4 linked regions of the Drosophila melanogaster genome follow. The protein of the gene in region 2 interacts with the protein of the main gene of each other region in a pairwise test. Each region holds a gene or a part of one and is shown on either strand. Other genes may lie near its edges.

What was found.
Region 1: the proteins of CG13074 (region 2) and RpL15 interact in a two-hybrid assay, tested with the Drosophila melanogaster proteins (one large-scale study listed by BioGRID).
Region 3: the proteins of CG13074 (region 2) and Gapdh1 interact in a two-hybrid assay, tested with the Drosophila melanogaster proteins (one large-scale study listed by BioGRID).
Region 4: the proteins of CG13074 (region 2) and Pvf1 interact in a two-hybrid assay, tested with the Drosophila melanogaster proteins (one large-scale study listed by BioGRID).

The regions. Positions count from the first base shown.
Region 1 is NT_037436.4:27,264,064-27,271,120, reverse strand, and holds RpL15 (ribosomal protein L15), read right to left. Parts: upstream 3,867-7,057; 5' UTR 3,598-3,866; exon of another isoform or gene 3,530-3,597; 5' UTR 3,512-3,529; coding exon 3,203-3,511; intron 3,168-3,202; exon of another isoform or gene 3,098-3,167; intron 3,030-3,097; coding exon 2,724-3,029; 3' UTR 2,676-2,723; downstream 1-2,675.
Region 2 is NT_037436.4:16,091,544-16,099,100, forward strand, and holds CG13074 (uncharacterized protein), read right to left. Parts: upstream 5,951-7,557; 5' UTR 5,947-5,950; coding exon 5,123-5,946; intron 5,050-5,122; coding exon 4,773-5,049; intron 4,713-4,772; coding exon 4,519-4,712; exon of another isoform or gene 4,514-4,518; intron 4,461-4,513; exon of another isoform or gene 4,459-4,460; coding exon 4,398-4,458; 3' UTR 4,225-4,397; downstream 1-4,224. Other genes in the region: ClC-c (chloride channel-c), read left to right, coding at 1-315, 989-1,155, 1,213-1,416, 1,473-2,105, 2,162-2,379, 2,445-3,005, 3,064-3,227, 3,286-3,499 and 1 more; ATPsynbetaL (ATP synthase, beta subunit-like), read left to right, coding at 6,361-6,391, 6,455-6,849, 7,006-7,557.
Region 3 is NT_033778.4:7,787,677-7,794,929, forward strand, and holds Gapdh1 (glyceraldehyde 3 phosphate dehydrogenase 1), read right to left. Parts: upstream 5,705-7,253; 5' UTR 5,445-5,704; coding exon 4,446-5,444; 3' UTR 4,225-4,445; downstream 1-4,224. Other genes in the region: CanB2 (calcineurin B2), read left to right, coding at 1-85; CG12825 (uncharacterized protein), read left to right, coding at 1,580-1,682, 1,745-1,824, 1,901-2,036, 2,097-2,212; CG12824 (uncharacterized protein), read left to right, coding at 2,726-2,822, 2,881-2,960, 3,017-3,149, 3,203-3,321; PolZ1 (DNA polymerase zeta subunit 1), read left to right, coding at 6,020-6,151, 6,210-6,439, 6,497-6,741, 6,799-7,046, 7,105-7,253.
Region 4 is NC_004354.4:18,828,747-18,837,006, reverse strand, and holds the start of Pvf1 (PDGF- and VEGF-related factor 1), read right to left. Parts: upstream 4,326-8,260; 5' UTR 4,061-4,325; intron 1-4,060. Other genes in the region: CG7101 (uncharacterized protein), read right to left, coding at 5,207-5,784, 5,864-6,344.

The sequences.
Region 1 (7,057 bases), about 11 Mb from region 2:
ACCTCCAAGATCTGTTGGATGCATTAGGCTTGCACCACAGGGTGGCCAGAAGCCTAGACTTTCTGGGTTCCATGCTAAAAGTCGTAGCTGGCACACCAGATGCTAGCGATCTAGAGAGGAGTAAATTTTTAGAAGCGCGATTGATCGACGCGAACAATAGGCAAATAGAAATAAACACTTAAGTTCAGGACCAGATAAATCAACTTACCTCCACAGTCAACGTAATTCTCAAGACGGCAAAGGGGTCACAAATTGACTCCAATCATTTGTATGAAACCTTTCTGGCGAGAAATAGAATGCTTATGATGGAGCTTCAAAATATCGTTATCCCGAATATTCTCGATCACGCAGACTTTGGCTTGAGGAGCCCACGAACACCCCCATAGGAGACCTCATGTCCGTGTTGTCCGTAAAAGTGCTTCAGTCCACAAAAAGATTACTATTTTCCCCGTTAGCCACCAAGGAGTCGTGCTGCGAATCACCAACAACGTCATCGCTGAATGTAATAACGAAGTCTACACCGTCTTGGACTGCACGGCTTCGAACAGCACCGCCTTTTGTCACTTGTCGTCGGGCAGCTCATGTGCCAGAGAGCTCCACGCTGGCGGCGTGTCGCACTGCGCAGAATGTGCTCAGCCTCCCTTACCTTCATCGCCTGAGTGAAAGCAATTTGGAGACAATCCGGAAATTCAAGGAAGAGATCGACGCTGATCGCCCACAACAGGTGGCACTTGTCATGGCTTCAGTATGTTGTCTGCTATTTTGCGTTGGCCTCGTGAGCTGGCGTATCCTAAGGGCCAGAAGAGCTACAAGGCAATTGAATGTGGCGATTGCCGGAATCAGGTCGGCCGAGGGCGTCCTCCAACTAAAGTTAACGTCCGCGGACGGCCAGATAAAATAAGCGACAGAAACCGCATTCTTCAAAGTATGCATAATGCTATATATGCATATATTTGCGTGGCCGCTATGAACATTAATCCGCAACGATATGTGTTGCGGTTTCACTGGTAGCTTCAGTCTCCGCAAATAAAATTGTAACGAAATAATCGCTCCGTCTTTCATTGGGACGTTAAACGGCAACTTTAGTTACTCTATAACACTAGTAACTAATTCATTTATATATGATGTAGTTGTCTAATTTTTGTAAGAAAAAAGGAAATTAACTTTTTATTGACGCTTTTGGAGTTGGCGGTAATCATAGAGGAAAAATGTATAATTAATATTAAATTAACATCCAGAAGTTTTCCGAAGTATGTTTTTTAAGAAAACTCTTGCCTATAGATACTCCGCTTTTCGTAATCTACTTACACTACAAAAAAATCAACATTTATATACTGATTGGAAGCTAATACCCTTATAACCTTTATACTCTTTCTAAGAGTAACGTATAATTAGAGAACTTGCCAATTAAAGGAAAATCGTAATCTAAATAGAGCGATTTGCACTATATGTAACAATTTTACAAAAATTAAGGAACTCATTGGTCTCGCAGTCGCCAGCAGTTCTGAAATTGTTTTATTGTAAACTTTGGTGACATAATTGTCCAAATCCATGCTCATCTATGAACATACATATATGTATACATATGTAGATAAGCTGAGGGAGCATCATGGCTCCCGAACTCTTGCAGATCGCCCTGCAATTAAGTCTCCCTTGTCATTCATTTCATAGCTAGTGCCCGCCCATGCACATCGATGCTTAATTATCACTGTATTATTTAAACCACATAATACAAGGCTTTTTACATCATTTAAAGGCTTATTTTTAAATTTAAAAAAAAAATGGAAAAAAATGTATTAATTTTTTTCAGGTTTTTCCAAAGTAGAGTGAACCGAATAGATTAATGCGTAAGCGTAAGCGAGCGGACAGAGAGCAATGTATGGCCGTTACGCATCTTGTTATTCTAGTGTCTTTGGTAGAAGGTTATACCAGATTCGTTGAAAAGAATTTAACAGGTAATAGGAAGCGTTTACAACCATATAAAATGCACATATTCTTGATCAGGAACAATAGCCGAGTCCATCTGGCCATGCTCGTTTGAACGTATGAACGTATCGATTTTAGGAACTATAAAGGGTAAAATCTTGAGATTAAGCCTGCAGCTTTCAGAAACACAATAAGCGCAGCGCAATTGTGTTTCCGAATGTTGTCACGCTTAAGCTTTTCAAAAAACGTTTTAATATTATTTAAATACAAGCCGCCACGCCCGTTCTTACACCTACATAAGTCCCAAAACAACCACGCCCTCGCTTTTGAACATTTTTTTAAATTTAATATTGTTTCATTTTCCAATATCTTTCGATATGGCATTTTTTAGATATGAAGCAGAAGAGCTATAACAAGCAAAAATACGTTTGCGTGCCCATCGTCGTTCAAATGAGATTTTTTGCTCAACCTTGAGGTACTTTTTTGTTAGATCCGCTAAACGAAAAAGGGATTATTTGCATATATTTTAAAATTTTTTGTAAAAGAATTGGAGTCTTGCCGAAAAATGGTCTTAGTACATTTTTGAAAATAAAAACTGGAAGTTAATGTAGATGAAAGAAATTTTATATTTTAAACCAAAATTCCTAATAAACCAATATGCCAAACCAAAAATGCGAAAACCTGTTACTATATCTATTTTTGCGTTTAAAAGCTCTTTTCAAAAAATATATTTTTTAGATATGTTCTTTGCGTGCACGAAGTGCTTTATTTAACCGATAAAATAAATGCTTCACAATTTATCGTTTTCTGTGCATGTGCTCACGGTTCTTGCGCTTCCAAGCAGCACGCCTAGATCCACCAATTGTCTGGGAGTATCTATATCCCTTGCCAATGCCACGCGAACTTTTTCCAGCTGATGTAAGGCCACGCAATTCACGATGCTTGTGGACATGCTTGCAGATCCAGTTAATTTTTGGATCACGACGAATAGCACTGTGATGAGTATCAATTAAGATTACTTCAAAATATTTATAAGAAGCATCTTGCGCAATCCAATACGAGTTCAAAACTCGCAAGCCGCCAAGTCTACGACCAACACGTTCCTACAAGAAAATAAAATTCATGATATATTTCAGTGTTTTTTGGTGAGGACCTCTTAATTGGACAAGAATATTTCAGACATCTAAGGAAGTTAATGTCAACATATATTGTATGTCAAAAGGGGTTGTCATCAACTTGTTCGAACGTGTGGTTAGCAAATTTCGTTTTTTCTTACCTCAGCAATGGATTGCAAACCACGATATGGTTTTAACTGGTTTACACCATGACTCTTCGGCTTGCCATAAGTGCATCCTTTGGGAACTGGACGCTTGCGACCTCCGCGGCGAACACGGATTCTATAAATCACGAACCCCTGTTTGGCTCTGTATCCTAAACGTCTTGCTTTATCCGGGCGAGTAGGTCTTGGCGAACGATGCAATTTCGTTAGTTGGCGGTATTGCCAAACGCGAATACGTAGCAAGTAGCGCATCACATCGCTCTGCTTCTTCCTATAAAGTTCCTGCATGTACCGATAAGCCCCCATCTCTGCAATTTGATAGACCTAGTAACAAATTCATTATTTATTTTATAACTGTCACATCATCGGTCCATCAACTTCTTAAACTGTACATATTACAATCTAGAACAGATAATAATTCGTATCAATGTTACATAGCAATGTGAGTACAAAAACGAACATAACATCCGTCAGATATCCATAATCTACACTGAGCTCAGAGTGGTGCATGGAAAAAATCATCATACAAACTTAAAAACATTTTAAAAGGACCGAAAATAATATATAAACTTATTTCCGAAATGATCTCGTACTAAAGAAAAATTATTGACCCGAATGCACAACCAACTTACAGCACGGAAATATTCCAAAAGAAGGAAGCAATGAGTTGGATCACACGACAAACAAGCTCAGAGTTGCTTTGGGATATACTTACCCTAATGCATGAAACATTGTAAAACGGAATTATACCCCTTTCTCACAGAATTGTATTATTTTTAAAACATCCCAGCATGTTCCGTTCCATGTTAATTTATCTTATCGCATTCGATTTGGGAAAAGTCTTTTAATTTCGTTATTAGGTGCTCTGGTTTTCAAATAATTTTTGCTATAGTGCTATGCGTTATTTCTATGCTATTTCGCTTTATTTCGTTTCTTGCTGCTCAAACAACTGACTTTTTTCTTTGTCAAAATCAAACAACGTGAAGATATCCTTTATATATTTGAAATCGTTTGTTTTGAAGCCAGACGGACGCAGAAATTGCTGTTTGCAATTGTTTTTCATACAAAATAGCTACCCCATTTTTCACAGTTTTTATTTATTTTTTAATGAAAGCATTTTAATATATGGTATAAATATTTTTACCTGCCTGTTTCGTTTTCCCGCAATAACTTTTGACGACGTACTTAGCGACACCTTAGCAAATCGAAATTTGTTGTTGTCGACAGCAAATGTGTGCTTGTCACATCGGAGGCGAGTTCCTCGCCTATCAGATACCCGTTCCTCAGCTAGTGCGAAAAAATTTTGTTGCAAATAAAAAAAATTATAAAAATAATTAAAATGTTAAAAATAAACAACACGTTCTTCAAAAGTGTAGGCGTGCCAGTTTTTGGAGGTTTGCGTGCGTTAGAGTGGGCGGGTCACCAAACTTGCGCTGCGTCTTTGCCTCTAGAACCTGTATGCTGAGATCTCGATGTTCATATAGACAGACGTACATGGCTAGATCGACTCGGCTATTGATCCTGTTCAATAATATGTTTTGTATAGTCGTAAACGCTCTTTCTGCTTGTTACATAATTTTCAACGAATCCAGTAAGTCTTTTACTCTACAAATAACGGGTATTAAAAGGCATTTTTACATTTCGGCCAGACAAAAGTCAAAATTGGTTTACGACCAAAAGCGGAATCATAAAATTCATACGAATTCGATTACCGGATCATGCACGATTATATTTTTGATACCGATATACAGGTTCAGATTTAAAAATGTTTTGAAAGTAACCAATTTCATAAGCGACAAATGTTATTTGCATAGGCACTAGAATAACAACAGTCAGAGCCAGAGACCGGAGAGCTCTGCAGCCGGTTGCTGGCACTAGAATAACTATAATAATTTATATAATAACTAATTTATAATAATAACTATAATAATTTCGGTCAATTGGCATCATGTGAAATATGTTTTCTCTGCATTGCCTTAGTGCTATTATTATTTAAATATAGCATAGAAATATTGTAGTATTAACCGAATCTATTTAAATGTCACAAATTAGAGTATTACGTTTGCGAGGTGTGAGAAATTATGACAACAATGATTGATGATAGCTTGTGTCCGCACTCAGTGCCTCCAGATATAACTTTTGCACTAAACAGATTTCATATTTTTATTTATTTTCTACTATGTTTTATTTTTATGAAATATTTTTTTTCTCAATGTACTGACTTTTTTTTTAAATTTATGGTTTATTTATTTATTCAAATTACAGCAGTTATAATAATTCCCTTTGTCTATGCTTTAATTATGTAAAATATTTATTAAGTCTTTTGACTTAAATTTTAAATTTTAAATTTAAATTAGATTCAGTAGAATTATTTTCTTATATTCCAATTTGATGGTGGGAAGAAAACTTTTTTAATTTTCCTTTTAATTTCTCTAATCCGTTTGAGTAAAGCTTACTATATGCAGAGCTACTCGATTTTTTTTTTAAATTTTCGCTAATAACCGAGTTTGTTTTCAATAAAAGTCATTTTGAATAAATATAAATATAAATATATACTATTAAATATTTAATAGTATAGTACAAAAATGAAAGCTCGAATAGTAATTGCGATACGTATCTATTTTTGATATATTTTTTAATATTTGCAAAATACTCATAAAAGTTTATGAAAATACTGTATACAAAAATATTTTTTGTTGAGCAATGCATTAAGCGCACAAATAAAAGTAGTGCTCTCTCATTATGGTTTTATGTAAAGAATGAATGTTATGCGTATAAAACGGATATGTTAAACAAAATTATAAATGTTTTGTTTTTAAGAATAGCAAGTGGACTGTAATAGTTGATAGAGAAAAATAAAAAAGATATTTAAATAATTGACTCCTGAAAATAATTAATAAATGCCAAAAACGACAAAAAAATATAATAAAAATGAAAAGCAATAGTTAGAAAAATAGCTAAATTGGGGAAAATGGAAATGTTTGACATTATAATATTTCAAGTCGATTCGAAGGTCAAATAATTCCGTGGTGTCCCCTGGGTACCGATTATTTGTGTCGAACTGATTTCTTTCCTCAGTGGCAATACTTCTACTGCAATACCGCCAGTGCCACATAGCTCGCGACATACATATTAGAGTGCTGCATAACACCTTCTCTTTGTTTTCAATTAGAGTATTCATTCGTTTCACTGCGTATTCACAATGCATGCCATTCAGTTGGCCGCGTTCTCTTTTAAGCTTCCGATCTAAATGAACTCACTGAATGCGTTTAAAGAATGAATGAGCCAATGATAGTAATAGTAGTTCAGAGTGCTCAGAATTCTTCATGTTGTCATTGGGTAAAATGAGTTCAGACAGCGCGGAGGTAAGTCAAAGTTTGTGTTTTATTATGATTACAGTTTGTCACTGTACACACTGTGAAATAATTGGAATTTTTGTCTTTAAAGGTAGAAATTAAGGGTTCTTTGCTTAATTAAACGCATTTTTTTATGAAATATAATTAAACAGTATTTATTTTACTTATAATACTTATATCAAAAGTTACTTATATCAAAAGTTACTTAAACAAATTGAAAATATTAAATATACCAGAAAATAAACTACAAATTCCAAGTTTACACACTTTTGAGACTATCAAGAAACTCTACACAAAACACTAAATCGAAGTATAATACTAAATTTTTAAATTATTTCATTAAAATTTTAAAAGTTTTAGTATGTAGTAAGTTCCCCATTGTCATTGGCTACAAGTTGGAGACTTTTTTTATGGAATAGATAAGTTTTTGGAGGTCATATTTAAGCGGTATCTTTTCCCACTATTTGACTATTGCAGTCATAAGCTGTTGTCGTGT
Region 2 (7,557 bases):
GCGACGGCGACCTAGACGGAACTTTTCGTGACCATCCGCTGGCGCAGCACACCAAACTGACCACCTCGCTGACGGCGGCGGGCACCGACGACGAGGATATGATTGACATCACACCCCGCTCCAGTCCAGGCGATGTGATCGGCGGCGGCGGAGGAGGAGGAAGCAGCAGTGGCTATCACCGGGAAACGGCCACCGAATCGGACACCGAACGAGATTTCGGACACTCTGGCGGCAACGGCGGCGGCAATCACCACAATCAGCGGACAATGCACCAGCATGTGCCAACTCACAGTGCCTTCGGCGATCCTATGGACGGTGAGTTCGGAGAGATCCATTGCGTAAAACATCCAATGTTGCTGTCTGTGGTGTTAATCAAGATCACGAACATTTGAGTAAGGCGACGTCACCTCGCCGCATTGCCGGTTCCGAATATTCGGCTCACAGCTGTACTCATTCGCTGGCAATTCAATTAATATGTACAATCATTAGCATACAGACATGTATTGTGGAGACACCAGTTAACTTCATGATATATGTACATACGTATATTAATACAATCACCATTTACACACGTGATGCTAATTTAGCAATATAATCACTGAGTTGTCTAAACAACCAGCTGGCATTTCTATTGGGAATTATTTATTTAAACGAAAAAGAATCAATTATAGTTGTTGGGTAAATACTATCGTATATCTGATGATAATAGCAATCAATGTTTACAATACGCTAGAACGAGTAATATCTGTAAGAACTTTATTCGAGGAATCTGTTTAAGAAAACGTAAACGTTCTTCGTCTCGATACCTGAATGAAACACGAGAAAAATACTATAAATTTTTGCGGTTATAAGGCTCTGGTTCTCTTTGGACTTTGACACCAAACCATTAGAATTAGCGTAATCACGTGTAATGCTACTACGACAACATGATTCGGAGCTTACTGTGTCAAATCCGTAATGTTTATTGTATTATTTATTATTGCTATAGGAGCACTATCCTTCTATGGTTCCTCGGACGTGCAAGATGATATTCCTGGCATTGGGCAGTACGAAGATTTTCACACCATTGATTGGCAGCGGGACATTGCCCGTGATCGGATGCGACATCGCTACATAGTCAAGAAGCGACAGGACTCCTTGTGGGATCTGATAAAGGTATAAGATCGTTTATGATTCAAAACACACCATACTTATCAATCATTTTACTTAAAGGGTTCCATTGATGCCGGATCTGGCTGGCTATGTGTTTTACTCGTCGGAATTGCCGCAGGCTGTGTGGCGGGCATGGTGGACATTGGAGCTAGTTGGATGTCGGATCTAAAGCATGGCATTTGTCCACCCGCCTTTTGGTTTAACAGGGAACAATGCTGCTATCCGGCCAAACAGTCAGTATTTGAAGAAGGCAACTGCTCGACGGTGAGTGAAACTACATTTTCTTCCTGATAAGGCACTAAAACCGCATTTATTTTCAGTGGAAAACCTGGCCAGAGATCTTTGGTTTGGATCGAAATGGCACCGGACCATATATCGTCGCTTACATCTGGTATGTGCTGTGGGCTTTGCTTTTTGCTTCGCTCAGCGCCTCCCTTGTGCGAATGTTTGCGCCCTACGCCTGCGGATCTGGTATTCCCGAGATAAAGACCATCTTGTCTGGCTTCATTATACGCGGCTATCTAGGAAAGTGGACGCTGCTGATCAAATCGGTGGGTCTGATGCTGTCTGTATCCGCTGGCCTCACTTTGGGCAAGGAAGGACCCATGGTCCACATTGCCAGTTGTATTGGAAACATATTCTCACATGTTTTCCCAAAATATGGTCGAAATGAGGCCAAGAAGCGTGAGATTCTTTCGGCAGCAGCAGCGGCAGGCGTCTCGGTGGCCTTCGGAGCACCAATCGGTGGAGTTCTCTTTTCGCTGGAGGAAGTGTCATACTATTTTCCATTGAAGACATTGTGGCGTTCATTCTTTTGTGCATTGATTGCCGCATTCGTTTTACGATCACTGACGCCGTTTGGCAACGAGCATTCCGTGCTCTTTTTCGTGGAGTATAACAAGCCCTGGATCTTTTTCGAACTTATTCCTTTTGTTTTCCTCGGAATTATGGGGGTAAATCTGAACTAATTTTGAAGCTCTACAATTTATTAACATAATATTTATTGTAGGGTGTTATTGGCACATTCTTCATCAAGGCCAATTTGTGGTGGTGCCGCTACAGGAAGTTCAGCAAGCTCGGACAGTATCCAGTAATGGAAGTGCTCTTCGTTACCCTGGTCACTGCCATCATTTGCTACCCCAATCCATTTACCCGAATGAACATGAACGAGCTAATATTCCTATTGGTTAGCAAGTGCTCACCCGGAGATGTCACCAATCCGTTATGGTACGTTTTTTCAATAATAATTATTTTTTATTTTTTTTTTATAATAACTACATATTTCCTTATAGTGATTACAAGCGCATGAACATCACGTCGGGCAACAGTTTCATTGAAGTTACGGAGCCAGGTCCTGGTGTGTACAGCTCCATTTGGCTGCTTATGCTCACCTTTATACTTAAACTGGCCCTGACCATCTTCACGTTTGGCATGAAAGTGCCCGCTGGTCTGTTTATTCCGTCCCTGCTCCTTGGCGCCATCATGGGTCGCATTGTTGGAATCGGTGTGGAGCAGTTTGCCTACAGCTATCCCAATATTTGGTTCTTTACCGGTGAGTGTGCGGACAGCAATCTTATCACACCCGGACTGTATGCGGTTGTGGGAGCAGCAGCTGTGCTGGGAGGTGTCACTCGAATGACCGTCTCCCTGGTAGTGATAATGTTCGAGCTAACAGGCGGAGTGCGGTATATTGTGCCCCTGATGGCTGCCGCCATGGCCTCCAAGTGGGTGGGTGATGCTCTGGGCAGGCAAGGTATCTACGATGCGCACATTGCGCTGAATGGTTATCCGTTCCTAGACAGCAAAGAAGAGTTTGCGCATACAACACTGGCCGCAGATGTGATGCAACCAAAGTATGTATAAAGAAAACCTTTTTTTCCTCAAGATCATCTAACAAAAACTTCATTTTAGGCGGAATGAAACTTTGAATGTCATTACCCAAGACTCCATGACGGTGGACGATGTTGAGAACCTTCTTAAAGAAACGGAACACAATGGCTATCCGGTGGTGGTGTCGCGGGAGAATCAATATTTAGTGGGCTTTGTATTGCGCAGGGATCTTAACTTGGCCATAGGTCAGTCACAACTTGTTTCGAGATCATGTTGCATAATTAAATATTACAAATTTTATAGGCAATGCCAAGCGTCTAATCGAGGGCATTAGCAGCAGCTCCATAGTATTATTCACATCATCCCAGCCTATTCAAAATCTGGGACCCCAGCCGCTGAAGCTGAAAAAGATCCTGGATATGGCACCGATCACAGTTACAGATCAAACGCCAATGGAGACGGTAGTGGACATGTTCCGAAAGCTGGGACTGCGCCAAACATTGGTAACACACAACGGGTGAGTTTGTGGCCAGAAGCAGTTTAACCAGTTTCAAGTTATCTAATCCAAATTCCATTGCAGTCGCCTACTGGGCGTAATTACAAAGAAAGATGTGCTGCGCCATGTGAAGCAGATGGATAACGAAGATCCCAATACGGTGCTCTTCAACTGAATTTATCAGCCAATCAGAAGTTGGGCGAGCGCTGCTTCTAGTTATTATTATGTGAACTATGTGCAAAATGCAGATTGCAATCTAAGCTTAAGTGAAAAGTTGAACGAGTGGATGCAAAGTGGACTGAAATGGATTAGAGTGGAATCGCGTGATTAGGACAGATAGGATCGGACGTTCGGACGTGAGAGATTTAGCAAAATTGTGTGCAGTTCTATTATATATTTATATATCGCATATATCTCGTTAATGTTAATTGTATAATTTATTTTACTGTAGGCAAATGGTTATAAAAGTTTAGTGTATTCATTTATTGCCATTTTGTAATTATGTCATTCTAGCACTTTTCTACACACAGCATATTTCTTTTTATATGTTCACATACAGCTTGATAACACTATGAAATGATCTATAGTTGTAAAAGGAACATTTTATTTTGTGAATCGTATGTGAAAACGCGGTTTTAACGAGATTCCCACAGAGAATGCAGTCTTATTTTACGCCAAATTTTCGAAATGGCTTTACGTTTTTGCATTTTGTTCAAAATTCTACACAGATAAAATGTCTTGTTTATACAATACATAGTCTATATTTACATGTGGTATTTGTTAGAGATCTGAGAAATTTTAAAATAAAATTGTGTATATACCAAACCTAAGAGAAGATAAAACCGTACATATTAACATAAGCAGTCATGCAAATACAAGCGATTATTTCAAAACTGAGAACAAAATTCAATACGACTATTTAGTGTTCTACGTAGAATATCTGGAACTCGTCGCCATAGAGGCCTGCAATTAACCAGCGTCTGTAAGATAATTATTATTCAAATTTGTTGTTTTATTGATTTCCTTCGTTATTAGCTCACCCATTGTCGCTACTACGGATAAGGCTTCCCTTGCCGCGAAGTCCTCCCTTGACATGGGCATGGGCTCCATCGCTCACCCTATAGTATTCCAGTGACCCATCATTGGCTGGGCAAAAGATGATGTTGCCATCCCGACTACAGGCGATTACGTTTTTAAAGGGAAGTGGAATTTGTACTATCAACTGAGCCATGTCCTGTTCATTATTTAAGAGAAAATAAATAGTGTTCAGCTCGTTTGTTTGTCATGTTATCACCTCATCCACAAGCCGCATATCGTGATAAAAGGCCTGTCCACTGAGATCGCAGCTCAGGACGAACAGGTTGCCCTCCATTTCGGTACGGAGGAGGGTGGAAACCATGAATCGATGTCGCCGTAGGGCCAACAATTTGATCTGCTTGATGGCTGCGGTTTGCCGGCCGGTGTTCCAGCAGCGATAGACGCCACCATCGTTAGTGCCCACGACGAAGTCATCCAGACCAAGGGTCACCATTGCCGTAGGCTCTGAGCTAACCGTTGCGGGCAGGGTGTATCTGGAGAAGTTAATTAAATAATATTTAAGATTAATGCCGGGAAATGTTTCGTTTAGTGTTTAGAGAGACTCACTCCCAATCCAGAGCCATCTGCCTGCTTAAATCCCACTGGCGAACGCTGCCATTGGCAAAGCAGGCCAACAGAAGATGTTCCCGCGGCCAGTCCAGAGCCACTGCAGCTCCCTGGGTGGAGGATACACTGTATAGCTGTTTGATATCGACGCTGGAATCGGAACCCCTCGCCTGCTCATATAACCAGATGAAGAGCTCTCCGTCCATGGTCGAACCAGCGAACATGGTCTTGTTGAACGGATTTGTGCACAGACTTCGCAAACAGGATTTTAGGGGTAGAGTTTTGGCCTCTGTATAAATCACCAAGTTGCCAACGGACATTCTTTGGGGAACAAAGAGTTTTAGCTGCTGATCCACATGCTCGCACCAGTCATCATGGGGAGCTACAGTGGTGGCCACCAGAACTGGGGCGTTATTCGTATGCACACACAGCCAGATAGCCAGTCCTTGCGAGTTTTCTGCACCACCCATTATCAGTTTCTGGTACGTGTACACCTGCAGTTTCTCCTCCAAGCGGCACTGGCTCATCGTTAGATCCTCCATCAGAGGCGTGGGATTCATTAGCTCCCGTTCGACCATGGGGCAGATCTGTCGCAACCACTTCGCCAAAGCCCTCTCATCGTATTCCACATCCTTACTACTAACTACTCGTTGCTCTGTTTGTGTGGCCACATGCAGCTTCTCCTGCGTTCCTGTGGCGGCATCTTGGCTGGGAGGAGGTGGATCGGTGCCCGTACAGTTGTCCACCAGGGCATGCTGCTTCTCCAAAGGCTGCGTGGCCGGAAATTCAACTATGGGTGAGCTGTAATGCGATAGTACGTCCATTTTCCATCAGCTTGAAAACCTTACTGTTTTGGCTTCAGAGCTTTGTGGCTATCGGTATCCTTGGAAACCAACTGACTCAACCCTAAAATAGAGCTAAAGGAAAACATATCTGAGGATCGATTATGAATCCAAGCTTAATCTAATGCAGCCTGAAAATAAATTAAAATATAAGAAATCATATTATATTAATTAATTAATTAAGAAAACTTTAGGATTTATATTGCAAACTTTTAAGAAGTTTTAGAAAGCAAATATCCCTAAAAAATAAATAGGTGACAACCCATTTAAAGTGCATTAAGGGAATCCTTTATAGTAGGCATTGCTGTCATCTGTCAAAGGAATCTATCATTACAAGCAAGTTTTATTTGCAGCAAAGACGTCCAAGCAGCGAAAGAATAAAAAACTAAAGTAAAAATGTTGGTATCATGGGCTAAAATGGCTACAGGTAAGAAGAATGAACCTATTTCACATGACCAGCTTCCTCTGAAAATGAAAAAAACCATGTTAGCATGTGCAAGGATTGGCCTGAAGATGGGCCCGGGTACCGGGGGTTACCGGGGCAACTATCTTGGTAATCCTGTGGTGTTTCCCCGCTACCTTCATGCCTCCCTGTCCCTTTGGGATGACAAGGATAAGAAAAAGTCGGGCGATGAGTGCGAGCCCGAGCCGCAGGAAGTCTGCAAGACGGACGCGGAACTGGTTAAGAAGAAGGATGAAGCCGAGGATGAGTGTGAGGAAAAGAAGTCCGACGGCGGAGGCAAGAAGCTGGAGAGCAAGGGTCGCAAGGGTGTCATCCATGCTGTCATCGGTCCCGTCATCGATGTCTACTTCGAGGAGGAGGTTCCGGAGGTGCTCAACGCGCTCCAGGTGCAGGATGCTCCCATTGCTAACCTAGTGCTGGAGGTAAGTCAAAGGATTAACCAATTTTAAGACGGACGACATTCATATTATATTATCTAATATTTAATTAAAATTTTAAAACGGATTTTAACATAACTTCTAAAGATTCGAAAAGTTTTAAAAATTATTAAACTTAACTTCTATTAATCGATTTCTTAGGTATTCCACCATCTGGGCAACAATATCGTCCGTTGCGTGGCCATGGATTCCACCGAAGGACTGCGTCGTGGTCAGCCGGTCCTCGATACCGGCTATCCCATCCGTGTGGCGGTGGGCAAGGCCGTTTTGGGACGCATCCTCAACGTGGTGGGCGATCCCATTGACGATCGCGGTGAGGTCAAGTCGGATTTCTACTCCTTTATCCATAACGAAGCCCCGGAGCTGACCGACTTGAGCGTGAAGCCAGAGATCCTAGTCACTGGCATCAAGGTGATTGATTTGCTGGCTCCTTACGTAAAGGGCGGTAAGATCGGGCTGTTTGGAGGCGCCGGCGTGGGCAAGACGGTGCTCATTATGGAGCTGATCAATAACATAGCCAAGTCCCATGGCGGCTACTCCGTGTTCGTGGGCGCAGGAGAGCGTACCCGCGAGGGCAACGATCTGTACCACGAGATGATCGAGTCCAAGGTCATCTCCCTGGAGGATGACTCCTCGAAGGTGGTTCTGGTCTTTGGCCAGATGAACGAGCCCCCGGGCGCTCGCTCCCGTGTG
Region 3 (7,253 bases), on a different chromosome or scaffold from region 2:
TGAGGATGGCAAGATCTCGTTCGATGAGTTCTGCTCTGTGGTCGGCAACACGGACATTCACAAGAAGATGGTAGTCGATGTCTAAAATAGGTTTAACGCAGATCCTTTTCTACGCGATGTTATTTATTTATTTTATACACGTCGGCATCCTTCGATTGTCACTATCACCACTATTCATATGGTTATTATTTTTGATCGGCGATTCTCTATAGTTAAATATTGTTATGAGCCTTTGGCGAGCCAGTTCAGTTAGTCAGTCAGTCAGTCAGCCAGCCAGCCAGTCAGTCAGTACAGCGATCGAAGGCTTAGGGAGAAATCGCGAATGCAATGTTGTTATCCTAAGTTGAAAAGTGGAATAATGCGCCTCCTACTTACTTCTTAAATATATTCATCTATATACTTATATATAAATGCATATATAGTCATAATTTATTATACAAATATACATTTAAAGAATTCAAAAACCCCAGAAGCAAAACTAAACTTAACTAAGGCGGAATCCAAGTTCGTGCAAGCAAAGGCAAATAAAGCAACCCAAGTTGAACGAATGCTCTATCGAATGCACTTTCGCTCTATCATATTGATGTTATATTTCTAATTCTCCTGTGATTTTGCCAAAAACAAAACAAAAAAAAAAAAAAAAAAACAACAAAACCAATCGAAATGCAACAAATCGAAATATGAAGTGCTTATGATGAGAAAGGACAGATGCGCGGGGCAGCTAAGCAACCTGCCCGAAGGAGGTCTCCTCTATTGACTTAGTCTTATTTACACGTTGTGTACTTTTTATATATTTATACATACCTACTTGTACTAATCGAATGTTATAACCTACGTAACGTATTTTTATATATCTTGACTAACTTGATAACACCAGAGGAAGGCGACGTTTGCCAAGTTTCTTAAGTCTATCTTAACCAATTTCTAACGCCACTTAACTCAAATTAATCAACGATTCTCACGCAGAACGTAGAACGCCTCGAACGTTTTCTAAAATACGCTACATTTTGCAGTTTATAACGCGAGTTAACTGAAAATCGAATAGTTATTATACATCAAAACATACATATGAAGCAATGCCGTGCGGTGATATTGCAGTAACATTTTTTTATACCTAATTATACTAGTTAAAGATGCAAGAAAACCAAATAGTAAAACGCATGTTACAAATTTTACAATTAACAAATTTTTGCACACTCGCCACTCTCAATTCGTTAGCTAATCAATTAAATTCCATTGCATTATTCAAAGTAATCGACTCGAGGTCGTATCTCATTGTAAAATGGTGTAGCCACAAGTTGGGAACCCATCGATAGATAGGCCCGCATGGATTGCCCAGTTAGCTGGCCAGTCGAAGCAATAATAAGCGAATCCTTCAATAAAATTATAATTATACACTAACCAACAAAGGTTTTCTTCAATTGTTGTTGCGCTGGTGGAGGAGCTACAGTACAATATGAGATTAGATAAGGTCTGCGGCAAAAGCTAGCCTGCTCACCCATCACCACCATGAATACTCCCGTCCAGTTTAGTTGTGAAATAATCGGCGGTCTGCAAGTTACTCTGCGATTTTGGAAACATGTGGAAGCTGGACACCAAAGGAGGAATCATCTGCTCGGGCTGCCTGTCCATAGCCTTTGCCATAACCTATCTGGTTTTGATGGACGATTACTTCTGGAAATGTAGGCGCATATACATACCAATCTTGGATATCTTTGCGATGCATAGAGCTATTTCGTTTCAGATGGACTCTACGAGATGGGAATACACATTTCGGCGCTGCAGATCTTGGGAAGCGTGGTCCTCATCGTTGGAGCCATAAAGGTTAGTTAGGCACACTGTGCACAGTCCACAACACTCTTATCTCTTATCTCTTTGCTCTGCTCTTTGCTGCATACAGCAAAAGCACAAGTTCTTCGTGCCGTGGATGATAACCACAGGATTCTTTTTATACCTGATGGTGAACCTGTTCATTTCACTGATAGTCCAGGGCACAGCTTGGATCTTCGGACCATTGATGGTCGTTCCGTTCACAGGTGAGGAGTTAACGCAGCCAGAGATTGGACAGCCAATTAACCAAAATCCTTCACTTTCAGCCTATCTGGGCTGCGCCCTGTACTCGGTGCAGAAGGCCTTCGACAGGATGCGCAAGGAGGAGCCACCGGCATATGCCAGCTTGTCCGACAAGAAGGAGTTCATCAATCACATATAGATACATATATAAGCAATTTCAATACAAACAAAAAAAAGATTAAAGGTAGATCAGATAGCTGGAAAATAAAAGCTCATTTTAAGTGCTATTCAAACGAAACAAACCCACAAGAAATCGGTGTAAATTTAAACTTTTCTAAAGTTTATTACAATTTGCAATGGGAACTATAAACTTTAAGGCAATCACTTTTGTGAACTATTATTTTCAGTGTGCTCTGAAAATATATTTGTTATCTTTTTTCTGCGAAATTTCGTTTCCAGCTCACATCTCTGTTATCTCTGACAAAGGTAATTCTGTTTTTTTTTTACTTTTATCATTTGGCTTTTAGCAAAGCTTGTTTTCTATGATGCACAATTTTATTATCCCTTTTGCGGTGCCTATATATCCCACAAAGGCTTTTATGTATATGCGTTGTATATAAAGCAATGGCTGATTAGATAAGTATTAAAAAAAGCTTTTTAGTAATGGAACAATGGATCATTTGCGAACAAAACGCCCATCGAGGAGTTGGAAATGTGGAAACCGGACTCCAAGGCGGGCATTATTTGCTCCGGGGCTGCATCGATCTGCCTTGCGATCGCCTACCTCATCATATTCGCCAACTTGAGGGGTACTGAACGGGGGTCAAAGTTCAAGAGCCAGCACATCTAATACCAGTTTCCCCGCAGAATTATCCTACGCATTTGGAGTTCACATAGCGTCCATGCAGATTATCAGCAGCGCAGTACTCATCGGCGGAGCCATCAAGGTCGGCCATACTCCCAATGCAACTTCCAATTTTTCACCCACATTCTCTCATCGCAGGAGAGGCACAAGCTCTTCGTGCCCTGGATGATCACAACCGCCATGTTCCTCTACTTAATGGGTTACTCATCCATTGTGCTGCTGGCCATGGGCGATTGGTTAATCGTCATGTTTTGCGCAGCGCCAATGATAGGTACAATATAGAGATTAACTTCGTCCTTCAATAAATCCAAAAACTACTTTCAGGCTGCCTCGGAATGGCATTCTATGCGGTGCAGAAGGCCTTCCGCAGGATGCGCAAGGATGGGCTTCCACCGAAGTATGCCGACATGCAAGTCAAAAGTATTTTGGTGAATCCCATATGATGCATTTTGCCATTTACAATTGTTGGTTTATCAAAAGCATGATGCTTCTGAGATATGGTTATATATTTTGTCTTTACTAAATGCAATAATTATATATAATATGGTGAAGAGCATTTTTAGTGGTGTTATTGTATTTATATATTACATTCTATAATATACAAATTAATACTGAGAGTTTGATTTGTTGAAATTACTTTTCCATTTGATTTACCATCAATATTTTTATGATTGTTAAATGGAAATTCTATTAAGCCTTATAATTTGAACAGAAATAGCTCAAATAATAAAAGCTACATATTTTTTAAAAATATCTTAAGCTTAGCATTTGGAAATTTAGAATGACGGCATTTTCAAATATCCCGCTCTTTGCAGCCCTGGTTGATGCTAATCGATTCAATTCTGTAATGCCGATAAGCTATGTACCAAGCAGCAAGCATATGTGTATGACCTTTCGTGACCTTGGTTATGCTCATAAGAAAGCCGCTTTGTATAAGAACGCAGGTCGATATATGAAAACAAACCCTTTATCCACCAAAAAGTATAAAGTATATATAAGCTATATAGTTTATATGGTCTGAGTTCAATTGGTCGTTATGTGTATTTATGTTGTTTTGCCGAAGAATCCAAATCCGAGACAAACAAACAGCATCCGCACAGGTTTCAAAGTGCAGCGATAAGAGAATATATTTGTTCGTTATCTTCGAATTTCGAGACTGCCAGAGTTGGCAACAACAAACGTACATACATACATATGGTATGTACATAAATAGAAACATCGTTCCTTTGGGATTGGGATGACTCTCCCAGGCGAAGCACAGATACTTATTTGTGTATTCACTGCATATCTCAGCAAGTCCGCCCGATATAACCTTCACACGCCCTTGGGCTTACACAAGCAACGTTCTTCATTCGATGCACAAGTTTTATTTTTCAAATAGCTGGCATTTAAATACAGTAACAGGGCGATACTTTATTCAACAACAATAAATATGTAGCTTTGCGTAATTATGGCTATTTTGTGCATTTGAAAAAAAAGCATCCTCAATTGCGCCCCTTGCGGATTATGCAACAGTGATTCCCGACCAGCTGCTGGGCGCCGGGTTTGTACGATAGTTTTGGCTAGTTTAGTCCTTGCTCTGCATATACTTGATCAGGTCGATGACGCGGTTGGAGTAACCGAACTCGTTGTCGTACCACGAGATTAGCTTGACGAACTTATCGTTCAGCGAAATGCCAGCCTTGGCGTCGAACACAGACGAATGGGTGTCGCTGAAGAAGTCGGTGGAGACCACCTCCTCATCGGTGTAGCCCAGGATTCCCTTCAGGGGTCCCTTGGAGGCCTCCTCGACCTTAGCCTTGATTTCGTCATAGGTGGCTCCCTTGCCCAAGCGGACGGTAAGATCCACAACGGAGACATTGGGCGTGGGCACGCGGAAAGCCATGCCGGTCAGCTTGCCGTTCAGGGCGGGGATGACCTTGCCCACAGCCTTGGCGGCTCCGGTGGCGGCCGGGATGATGTTCTGGGCGGCGCCACGTCCATCGCGCCACAGTTTGCCAGAGGGACCGTCGACGGTCTTCTGGGTGGCAGTGGTGGCGTGCACGGTGGTCATCAGACCCTCGACGATCTCGAAGTTGTCATTGATGACCTTGGCCAGGGGAGCCAGGCAGTTGGTGGTGCACGAGGCGTTGGAGACCACCTTCATGTCGGGGCTGTAGGCGTCCAGGTTAACGCCGCACACGAACATGGGCGCATCGGCGGATGGGGCCGAGATGATGACCTTCTTGGCGCCGCCCTTCAAGTGGGTGGACGCCTTGTCAATGGTGGTGAACACTCCGGTGGACTCCACCACATACTCGGCTCCAGCACTGGCCCAGTTGATGTTGGCCGGGTCGCGCTCGCTGAACACGGTGATCTTCTGGCCGTTCACCACCAGGAATCCGCCCTCAGCCGCAACGGTGCCCTTGAAACGACCGTGAGTCGAGTCGAATTTAAACAGGTAAACCATGTAGTTGACATCGATGAAGGGATCGTTGACGGCCACCACGGAGGCGCCCTTATCGATGGCGGCGCGGAGCACCAAGCGGCCGATGCGGCCAAATCCGTTAATTCCGATCTTCGACATGGCTGAGTTCCTGCTGTCTTTTCACTTTTACTCTCGTTCAGTTTCAGTTCGCTATTACGACTGCCGCTTTTTCCTTTTCCCGGAGCTTTTTTCGCAAATTAGGAGAATGGCGCTGCGATGGCGGGGGAGGGTTGATGAGTATTTCGCTAGCTTTCTGCGTAGGTCACACTTAAATAAAGCTAATGTGAAATAAATCGATTAGAATTCCATTTAAAACTTTAATTTTTACAAAGGGTTTGATTATATAAGCGCCTTAAAAAGAGCCTCTAACAACTAATGATATATATGGGTTGTAGGACCCTTTACGTAATTAAGTTTATACAAAAATTAGCATTGTCAAGTATAAAATTCCTTCATCTTGCACTAAAGTTTTTCTTAACATTGTTGCCAAGTTAGTTCTTTAAGTTCTAGAGCTCTTCTTTCAATTTAAAAATATTTATTTTACGTTTTTGCCCTTAGTTTGAATTCAAAAAGCAACAATCGATAGATCGATACTTTTCGATACATGGTCACTCTAGTTTGAATTGAATTGACAACAAATAGCTCTGCGAAAACGAATCTGAGTTTTGGCGAAAATGGCAGCCGCAGGAGAGGCAATCGATGGAGTCTACTCCGTCCGGCTGGTCATCGCGGATTTCTATATGGAGAAGCCGCAGTTCGGAATGGATCCGTGCTATTCGGAGCTGCGCGGCAAAGAAATCAAGCGGGTGAGCCGGTCTATTTCACCACAGTAAAAACTGGTATAACGATCCATTCCACTTCCAGGTGCCAGTGATTCGAGTGTTTGGCGGCAACTCCAGAGGCCAGAAGACCTGCATGCATGTACACGGAGTTTTCCCCTATCTATACATTCCGTATGACAAGAAGGATTTTGAGTCCCTGGAGCGGGGCATCCTGCAGATGGCCATGCACCTGGACAAGGCCATCAACATATCCTTGGGTCAAGGCAGCTCCAACGCCCAGCATGTGTTCAAAATTCAGCTGGTCAAGGGCATGTGAGTTCTTTCTGGACGACTTCTTGGCGTAAATCTCTAACCGACCTCTCTTTACAGACCCTTCTATGGCTACCATCGAGTGGAACACCAGTTCCTCAAGATCTACATGTTCAATCCCCGGTTCGTACGCCGCGCCGCCAACCTTCTCCAAAGCGGCGCCATTCTGAGCAAGAACTTCAGTCCGCACGAGTCGCATGTGCCCTACATTCTGCAGTTTATGATCGACTACAATCTGTACGGTATGAGCTATGTGCATGTCCCGCTGGAGGTTCTCAAGTTCCGGCGCAACCATGACGATGACGGCAAGCTGGATACATCATCTATTTAAGTTCCTAACTAACCCGTAACTAACCCTTTAGTAATCCCCTATGCAAATGTCAAGCAAGCGCAGCTTCTGGACATCACAACCGCTAAGAAAGTGGCCTGCAGTGCTTTAGAGGTGGATGTCAGCTCGAACTTCATACTGAATCGGTTCCAGCTGGTGGCGAAGAGTAAGAGCAACCACACTAACCCCGGCATCGAGGCCATCTGGAATGATGAGAAATTGCGCCGACAGAAACTTGTCGAGAAGCACACCGATGCTGGCGATGAGGAGAAGGCTGAAGCGGTAATCCGGGAATACATCTTGTATTGATAAATCCTACAGCCTTGTCCATCCATCGTAGGTGCCAGTATTGGAGTTACCGCCAACACAGGAGCGGCATCAAATTGAAATCGCCGAAAGCGATATCTTCTACCGCACCGCTCTGGAGAGCAAGCTGATGACACTGGAGCAGTCCACACTGTCCGAGCAAACGTTGTCGGATCAGACAAT
Region 4 (8,260 bases), on a different chromosome or scaffold from region 2:
CATGCCCTGACTCATAAATCAGCTACACTTGTGGCCATTAAAGCCCTCGAAGCCAAGTCAAAAGGCGGCAGGATTCTTGTGTAATCGCCAGCAATCTAGAAGACTCAAGCGGGAATTCTTCAGTTCGTTTCCTGTCTTTCAAACTCTATTTCGAATGCTAAGTGCGTAGGGAGTTTAATATTTCCTGCATATGAAAAGTAAGACTCAGCTACTGATTATGTTGCACTCGAAGGAAAAGTGCAATAATTGGTCGAAAATGAAATTATAGGTAAAATTAATCAACTGCAGAATTCGCGTTCTGCTTTCGAACAGAAGAATTCTTCTTCTTATGCTGTTAAGCCAATGATTTTATTTCCAGTGCCGGCTCCACTGTGGCTCTCGCATTTAATGCATTTCATTATTATTTGTTTTTATTCTCGTCGCTCCCTTGTTCTTATTCTTTTTTACTTATTCTTGCGTACTGCTTAAATATGAAAATTCTTATTATAGGTCAGTTCGCGTTTCCCTTTCAGCTGCACAGTCTGTTCTTCTTCTTCTTCTTCTTCGTGGGCTGTCGATAACGTAACGCACGCCTAGTGATAGTGATAAGTCCCAGTAAAACATACTAAATGCACATGCATACATACATACATAAATATACAGATTTGTATATAGCGTGCTGGTCAAGGCGCTTTATCAGCCTAGTGAATAGCAAATAAAATATAAATGGCTATTGTAAAATCGCAAAAGGCGTTCATTCATTAAAATGCAAAACAAAAAATAGAAGACGAAGAAGTGAGAAAGATGTAAACATAGCCATATGCTCCCCCATGGATCGGAAAATATATACATATGTAATGTACATACATACATGTATATTGGGTCTGGAAAAAAAATGGACTGCTAGATTCCAAGAGCTTGCTTCGCTAATTTAGTATAGATATAAACAAATAGTGGTTTGGGTAACCAACTTCATTTTAAATTCAGTTTAATCGAATTTTGGATGTACGGCGAATGAAATTTTGCTGAACATGATACCATGATAGAAAAATAGTTGGATGCAAGTTTTTAAGGAGGCTTTATGAGCCTATTTTACTATACAAATAACTTTTATAATGCAACTGGCAAATTGGAATGATCTTTATTAAAACGTACAAAGTTTTTTGGAAATACTTGTATGAACTTTTTTGTACACATAACAAAGTGTGGAAAGTTTTTGAAGATGCCGACTAATGGGTTAATGCCCATTATATGTATATACATAATTGATTATATTTCTCTAATACAAAGCTGTGGAATATGCGGACAAAGCGTTTTAAAGTGATCCTGGTTTCGTGCAGTGTATGAGGGCAAGACGAAGAAAAGCAAAGTGAGAAGTGGTGCAAAAAACAACACAGGAAAGGAGATAGCAGAATGGGTAAGAGGGGTGTGGAAAGGGGTGGGGAAGGAGAGCAAGATCGGATGGTGTTAAAAATAGCTTTAAGCTCGCCTTGTAACGGTACTCCTCGGGAGTTTCAATTTGTGTGTATGTTTCTGCACTTGCGTTTTAGGTGCAATGGGTGCACAAGTGTTTATTTGTGGGCTGCAATCAACACACACACACGCACACGGAATTCAGCTATCATTGTTTTCCTTTCTGTTTTCCTTACATTTCTTGGCTCTTTTTAACAGTTAAGCAAATACCGATTGATATGACAGACCAAACGTTGTTATTCTTTTCATCGCTCTCCCTCCCTCTCTCTTTCTCTGTTGCCAGGTGTCACGCACACCTGTGTGATTCATCTTGACATTCCTCTGTGCCGTCTTGTTGTTGTTGCTCTGTTTTTATTTTTTTTTTTGGCGGCTGCTGCACAAGCTTTGTGTGGAGTAACAGCTGTTAGCTTAACAGTTTCGGAATAATTTTCAATTGGAATTAAAAAGATATCAAGTAATTTACTAATCTATCTGCAAAGAATTTCAATAGATCTTACAAACTGAAAACAAGATTCAAAATATAATGCAGATTCTTAAAACCTCTATAGGATGTTCGTTCGACGGGTGGGCCGCTGGTGATTGCACAACCTGTCACATCGAAGGTCTCTTTAACCCGATTCAACGGTTAACTTGTGCGTCTAGTCAGTTATCAGTTATCAGTTGTTGTTGTTTTTGTTGTTGTTGCTACTGAGGCATTTCGTCAGCGCAGATATTACAGATCGACCACAGGGAGACGGATAGATGGGAGTAGTGGTAAGGGGGAAAGGCAGATTACAAAATTAAGCACGTTTTTAAATTATATATATGAATGCGAATATGTACTTATTGCGAAAGCGACAGGCTTTTGTTACTCCTCATACTGATTGCTTTTAGTACCCTGTACTAAAAAAAGGTATGCTAACTTTGGCGAAATCTGATCAGCATTTAGTTTCAAAAAACGCAATCAAGCCACTGTTTACAAGCTTTCTTTAGGAATATTAAACTTATAAGGCTATCATATGCATATATCCATGCCTCAGGTATCATATAGTCGATAGACGATACCCATATGATCTGTATTTAGTTTGCGCAGGTGTCAGCTGTATTTATTCTCACACTTTCGAGGCATTCCTTCCCGGTGCGTCACCCGAAGATATCAAATCATATCAAGTAATCTCAAGGAGGAGAAGGCGAGGAACCAAAAGGAATCATCTCGGAATCGCGATCCCCACTTGGGCGGTCCTTAATTACGCGAAGGGAGTGCCTCCCGCCAGGCAATTGCTCCCCGCACAAGAATTCCAATACAAAAGGAAGACTCAAGCGTTAATGATAAGACCGCGGGCGCGGCGCGGGCGGAGGCGTGGCAGATCAGGGAACAGGCCCATAGCTTGTCTTCCCGTCTGGTCATTCGCTCAGGCAAATCAATTACAATATAGACATGATAATAACTCCACTGCATCCATGGGCCCATGTAGACGGGGGAGCAGTAGAGCAAACAACAAACAAGAAAACACAAAACTTGGACCAACAGGAGGGCAATGGGCAATGGACAATGGGCAGTGGGTTCTACAAGCTCTACAAGATAAATTATGGATTTGCTCCCAAAGGGCTCCCAAAGGGATCGGGTCAACGGCGACGTCTGGAATGCGAGTCTAAGATTAACCGATTTCAACTTTTGGAAGGCGGAAATATGAACAAGTTTTTAAAAAACTAGGGCATATCTAAAATAATTGTTTTCTTTTTTAAGTTTAGTGAAGGTGTCACTTGCTCAAGGTATAGTTTCCTTTCTAGGATATCAAAGTTCTCCAGTTGTTTCATACAATATACGTTATAATTAGAAACGTTTACTATAATATTTTAATATTCATCACATAATATATAATGTGTGACTTTTGTGAGCAAACATTATCATTAAACGTGTTTTCTTTTAATGAAAACCCGCAAATGTGCATTTCAAAATAAATTATTTCTTAAAAATGGCATTTTTGTTCTAAAATGTTATAAATTAAAAAAAAAAAAAAAAAAACAGGAACTTTGAACACATTGCCAGCATTAGTTTATTGAACTTTATTGACGATTTATCCGCAATAACTCGATCATAAACAACTTGATATATTGCAGTTTAAGGCAGCGACTACATTTAAGCCAAGTTCACTTTCATTTGTGATTCACAAATCTTATATTCGCACGCGATTTGACGTAGTTTGATTTGAATAACGATTAAGCCCGGCTTAGACTTTGTTTTTAGGAATTCAAGCGCAACATTTTCACTGGGTTTTCCACACAGCCACTGGAATAACTCAACAGCCAGATCAAAAAACGTTAATTGCAATTGTACTTTTTTGTTTTGTTTGGTTTTTTTTTTTTTTGCATTTGTTAATGATAAAATGGTGTTCTGGTTTTGCTCGAAAGCTATTGGGGAAAAAAAACATATATATAACAAAAGGCTGTGCGCTGTGGAGAGCTTTTTAAAAGGCCCGGCTTTAGTGGGGCAGAAGTGGAAAACCATATAAACAATAACAAAAAGCAGTTTCAGTTTAAATGTTAGATGTAGTCGAGGGTCGCTGGCTTGTTTGTTTACGCTGCTGATTTGTGTTGAAATGTTGAAATTTTGAGAAGCACCACTTACTTTATGGAAACACGGCTTGAAAATTCTAAATATTATGTTTTACACGAAGTTCAATGGCACAAATCGGTTAGCACGAAACGAAAAACAAACAACAAAAAATATGTGTGCACAAATGGGGGGTTTTGTATTTAATAATTTGTGATATATATTTGAGCGCGTTTAAGTTTGTGGTGTTAGCCTCGCGGAGATCGGCGGAGCTGCGATCCAAGCACCAGCAAGTTCCGTTCAAAACTGTCGACTCGTCGGTGTGGGCCAAGTTACTGCGCCCCTATCACCACAGTCGCCAATAACAATAGCAGTAGCAGTAACTGTTGCAGTAACAGTAACAGTACCCAGCTGTCGCAGCATTGCGCTCTCCGCTCTGTACCGCAACACTCACATCCAATCCGAACCGAACCGCTCCGCTCATTACTCTCCCGATCTTGGGGCCTGGAGCGGAGCGGATGGGTTTCACTGTTAACAGTTAACGCTGGGAGAGCGCGATCTCGACTTACGCACACCCTCGCTCAGGAGGCTCGCTGAGATTTTAAATTTAAATATATATAGAGCAACATGAACAATACATATGTTACATTCTATTATCTGTCTATTGGTGGAAATGGAGTATATTATCTGATTAATCAGTGTTGTGGTGATGATAAATATTACTCATAAAGCTGCACTATTTCATCGTTATTTTCAAAGTATTCATTTTAGTGTGACATTTTACATTATGTTAACACTACGCAGCAATAATCTGTAAACTTTCTTTAGGCAATCTTTCATTCTTTCAAACTTTCCTTAGAAAATATTTCAATTGTGCCCGTTTCTATTAACCTGACTTCATGTATTGATATTTTTTTATTCATATAAGTACATTGTCTTTCAGCCATCTGCTTGCTATATTAAAGTAACTATTCGCTTATGTCTATAGTTCCTAAGATGTAAATGTAAATCGTCTCATAAGCATTAATTTTACAGCAAAAAATAAAATACGATTTTAAATTCAAGTTCGTTTGGAAAAACATTTCCGATGACTAGGATATAAATTCAAAATATTAACGCTATTAAAACGTTACATTTATCCATTGCTTAAGTATATATTAATCGTAGTTCTGGACGTGAGATGTCGCTCAGGTATCTACGATTCCGGCTAGGTTGACTGCCCTACGGATGTTCCTCACACACATGCCGTTCGAGATCGATGGCCCGGAAGAAGGGCCGCACGCAGAATTCACAGGTGTAAGTGCCGTGTCCATGGCCGCGATCCGTCTTTATGTGATCGGTGAGGTGGCACCGCTGGGTGAATCTCTTTCCGCACGTGGGACACAGATGCGGTCGGTGGTCCAGGTGCAGACTGTTAACGTGCTTCTTTAGGTGATCAGCAGTGGCGAAGTCCGCCTGGCAAATACCGCACACATGACCGCGCAAGAGGATGTGAACACGTTGCAGATGGGACCGCAGGGCTTCTCGGCTGCCATGGCTCTTGCCACAGTAGCAGCAGTCCAGGGCACTGCGTTCGTGAACCTGCTCCAGGTGCCGCACCAGGCTCAGACTGCCGGGGAATCCGTTGGCGCAGAAGGGACACACGAAAACGCTCGGCTTAGCGTTCACAATGCACGACTCCTTGTCCAGGTCGGTGGGCCAGCCAAAGGTGAGATCGTCGTCCCAGTCGATGCTGGGCAGTATGTTCTCAATGTTCTCCTCTAGCATCTCAAGATCCTCCATTTCATCAACCTGGCTGTCTGCAGGGATCGGATTGAATAGTATTATTAAGCAGGGTATGCCATTAACATCACAACTACTCGTAAGCAGAATACCTACCTGCATCACTGGCCGTGGACTTCAGGGTACGCAGGCGATGCACCTCCTCGGCGTGCTCCTGCAGCTCCAGCATCCCGCTAAAGGTCTTAACGTCGTTGCAGTTGTCCGTGCACATGTCGCAGTAGAACAGCGACTGCTGGCCGTGCCAACTGGCAACATGACGGTAAAGAAACGTGGCTGACGCGTACTTCTTGCCGCACTGCAGGCACAGGAACTGGCCATCGTTGTGCTTTCGCTCCCGATGCCGCTCCAGCCGGGCCTCCTCGCCGAAAAGCGTCAGGCAGTGGGGGCAGACGAAAAGACGCCTCACCCTGACGGAGCACTGCTGCTCGTGCCGCTTGGCGGCCAGATGACGAGAGAACTCCGCAAAACAAACGCCGCAGTGGTACGTACGCTTCTTGGCCGGCTTCTTCGCCGCCAGCGGCAGGGCTCCGCGGTTGCTCGCTCCCGGCGCTTTTGGCCGGATGGGCACCGGTTCCATAATTTTAGCTTGTCCAATTAAAATTGTTGTTACAAGCAAAACTGCTCGCTGACTATCGATATCGGAAGGCGCGATTTGTTATCGATTGACCGCAAGTGCCGGGAAGCCAAAAGTGTGACTGCAGCGCGAAAGCTGAACAGAATATATCAATAAGCGGTCACATTTACTTACCGAAGTGTTCAAAAACAAAAATCAAACATTTTCAAATTAAATTCTTCATATTCCCATTGAAAAGAGCCCGCTCGTACATTTTCGTCACTTGAATATTTATTGTACTTCATTTAAATCATTTTGTATTTGAATTTTTTTTACATACTTTTATGGTTTTTAATTTCATCAGCATAATTCAATAATATATAGTTTTTGTATAGTATAATAATTTTATAACACGTTTTTCTGCACTGTGCAAATAATTTTCCCATCAACTTCTATTCAATTAGCGAATTTCCTTTTAGTTATTTGCGTGATGGAGTGTTGATATTCAAATTTCCTTGAATTCTTTAGTACAGTCTACATTAAATTGTTTTACATTTGATTTCATTTACCGACTAACATTTTGTTGTATATTCTTTTTTGGGTTTTTTTTCTCAAAATAATTCATGTTTTTAACACTTTTATAATAGTATAAGCTGTATACACTTATAATAAATGACTTGAATACATAATAACAAACGCCTCGGTTACAATCTTCAATCTTCACAACTGTATTCATGACCCAGAATTTACATGGCGTTACTAAAAGCTCTGGAATCTTATGTATTAAGCATATTGTTTTGCGCATTCCTGTCCTCTAATCAGTGATGTGAGCACTAATTATCCAGAAATTAAAGTAAATATTTGCAGGGCAATGCCACCCACCTGACGCGTGAAGTAGTACACACTTATGTAATCCATTAAACATACATAGTTATCGAATTCTTTGTTCTTATTATCAAAATGGCGCTGTGGCGGCTCAATCAATCCATCGGACCTCTAATGGTTCCTTAGTTCTATGCTCATCCGATACTCAAAAGTTCAAATAACACAATGGTACAACTTAAACACACAAGCAACATTTTTGGTTTCGAAATTCCAACACTACAATCGAAAAATCGCAGCCAGTTCTAAAAAAGACCTTTTTTCGATCATCACAAAAATGTAACAGAACTTCTTCATATTAAAAATGCACTTTAAAGTTAAACACTTGAATCGAGAACGTATGATCTTGTATTTGCATTTTCTATCAACTGGGACGATTTTTGCAGAATGCTATGGGTGGGGGTAATCACTTAAATGCACATCAAACGTTCAATAAAAGCGAAATGGGATCAAATCAGGTAACAATTGAATACGATCTAATAACACGATTATCCATTAGCTAAAGTTATTCTTTGTTGCATGCAATGATTTAGTAACTTATTCACACTTTTATTCGAACATTTTGAGTACCGGGGTGGAGTAAAGTCGACAGCCGCGCTCTTGTGTTATATTTTTGTGTTTATGTAAGATTTCTGTTTCGGCAAGGAACCCATAAATATGCATGGGAACACTTAGTGTAAGCGATTAAAAGATATTCTCCATTGACTACTAAAAACATTCGGAACTTGTTCTTGCGATTTGCGTTTAAAGTAATTCATATCTTGCCTGCATTTGAATCTTTTGTTGTAAACTCTTAGTAAACTATTCATTTTTGGCATATTTGACTTACAACAACGGTAATACAAAAAAGTAAATGTACATAAAAAACAACAACAATACAATTTTCCTCCGCATTTACTACAACTTCCTTGGTGTTGTTCTAAAAGCTGCTATTATATATTTCGACAACAATTTCGGAACTGCTGCTGCTGCTGCTGATTTGTTCGGTTTGCATTAGGTATTCTTTTTTTTTTCCTTTTTTATTTTTCACTTGTATCTGTATTTTTGAATTTTTCATT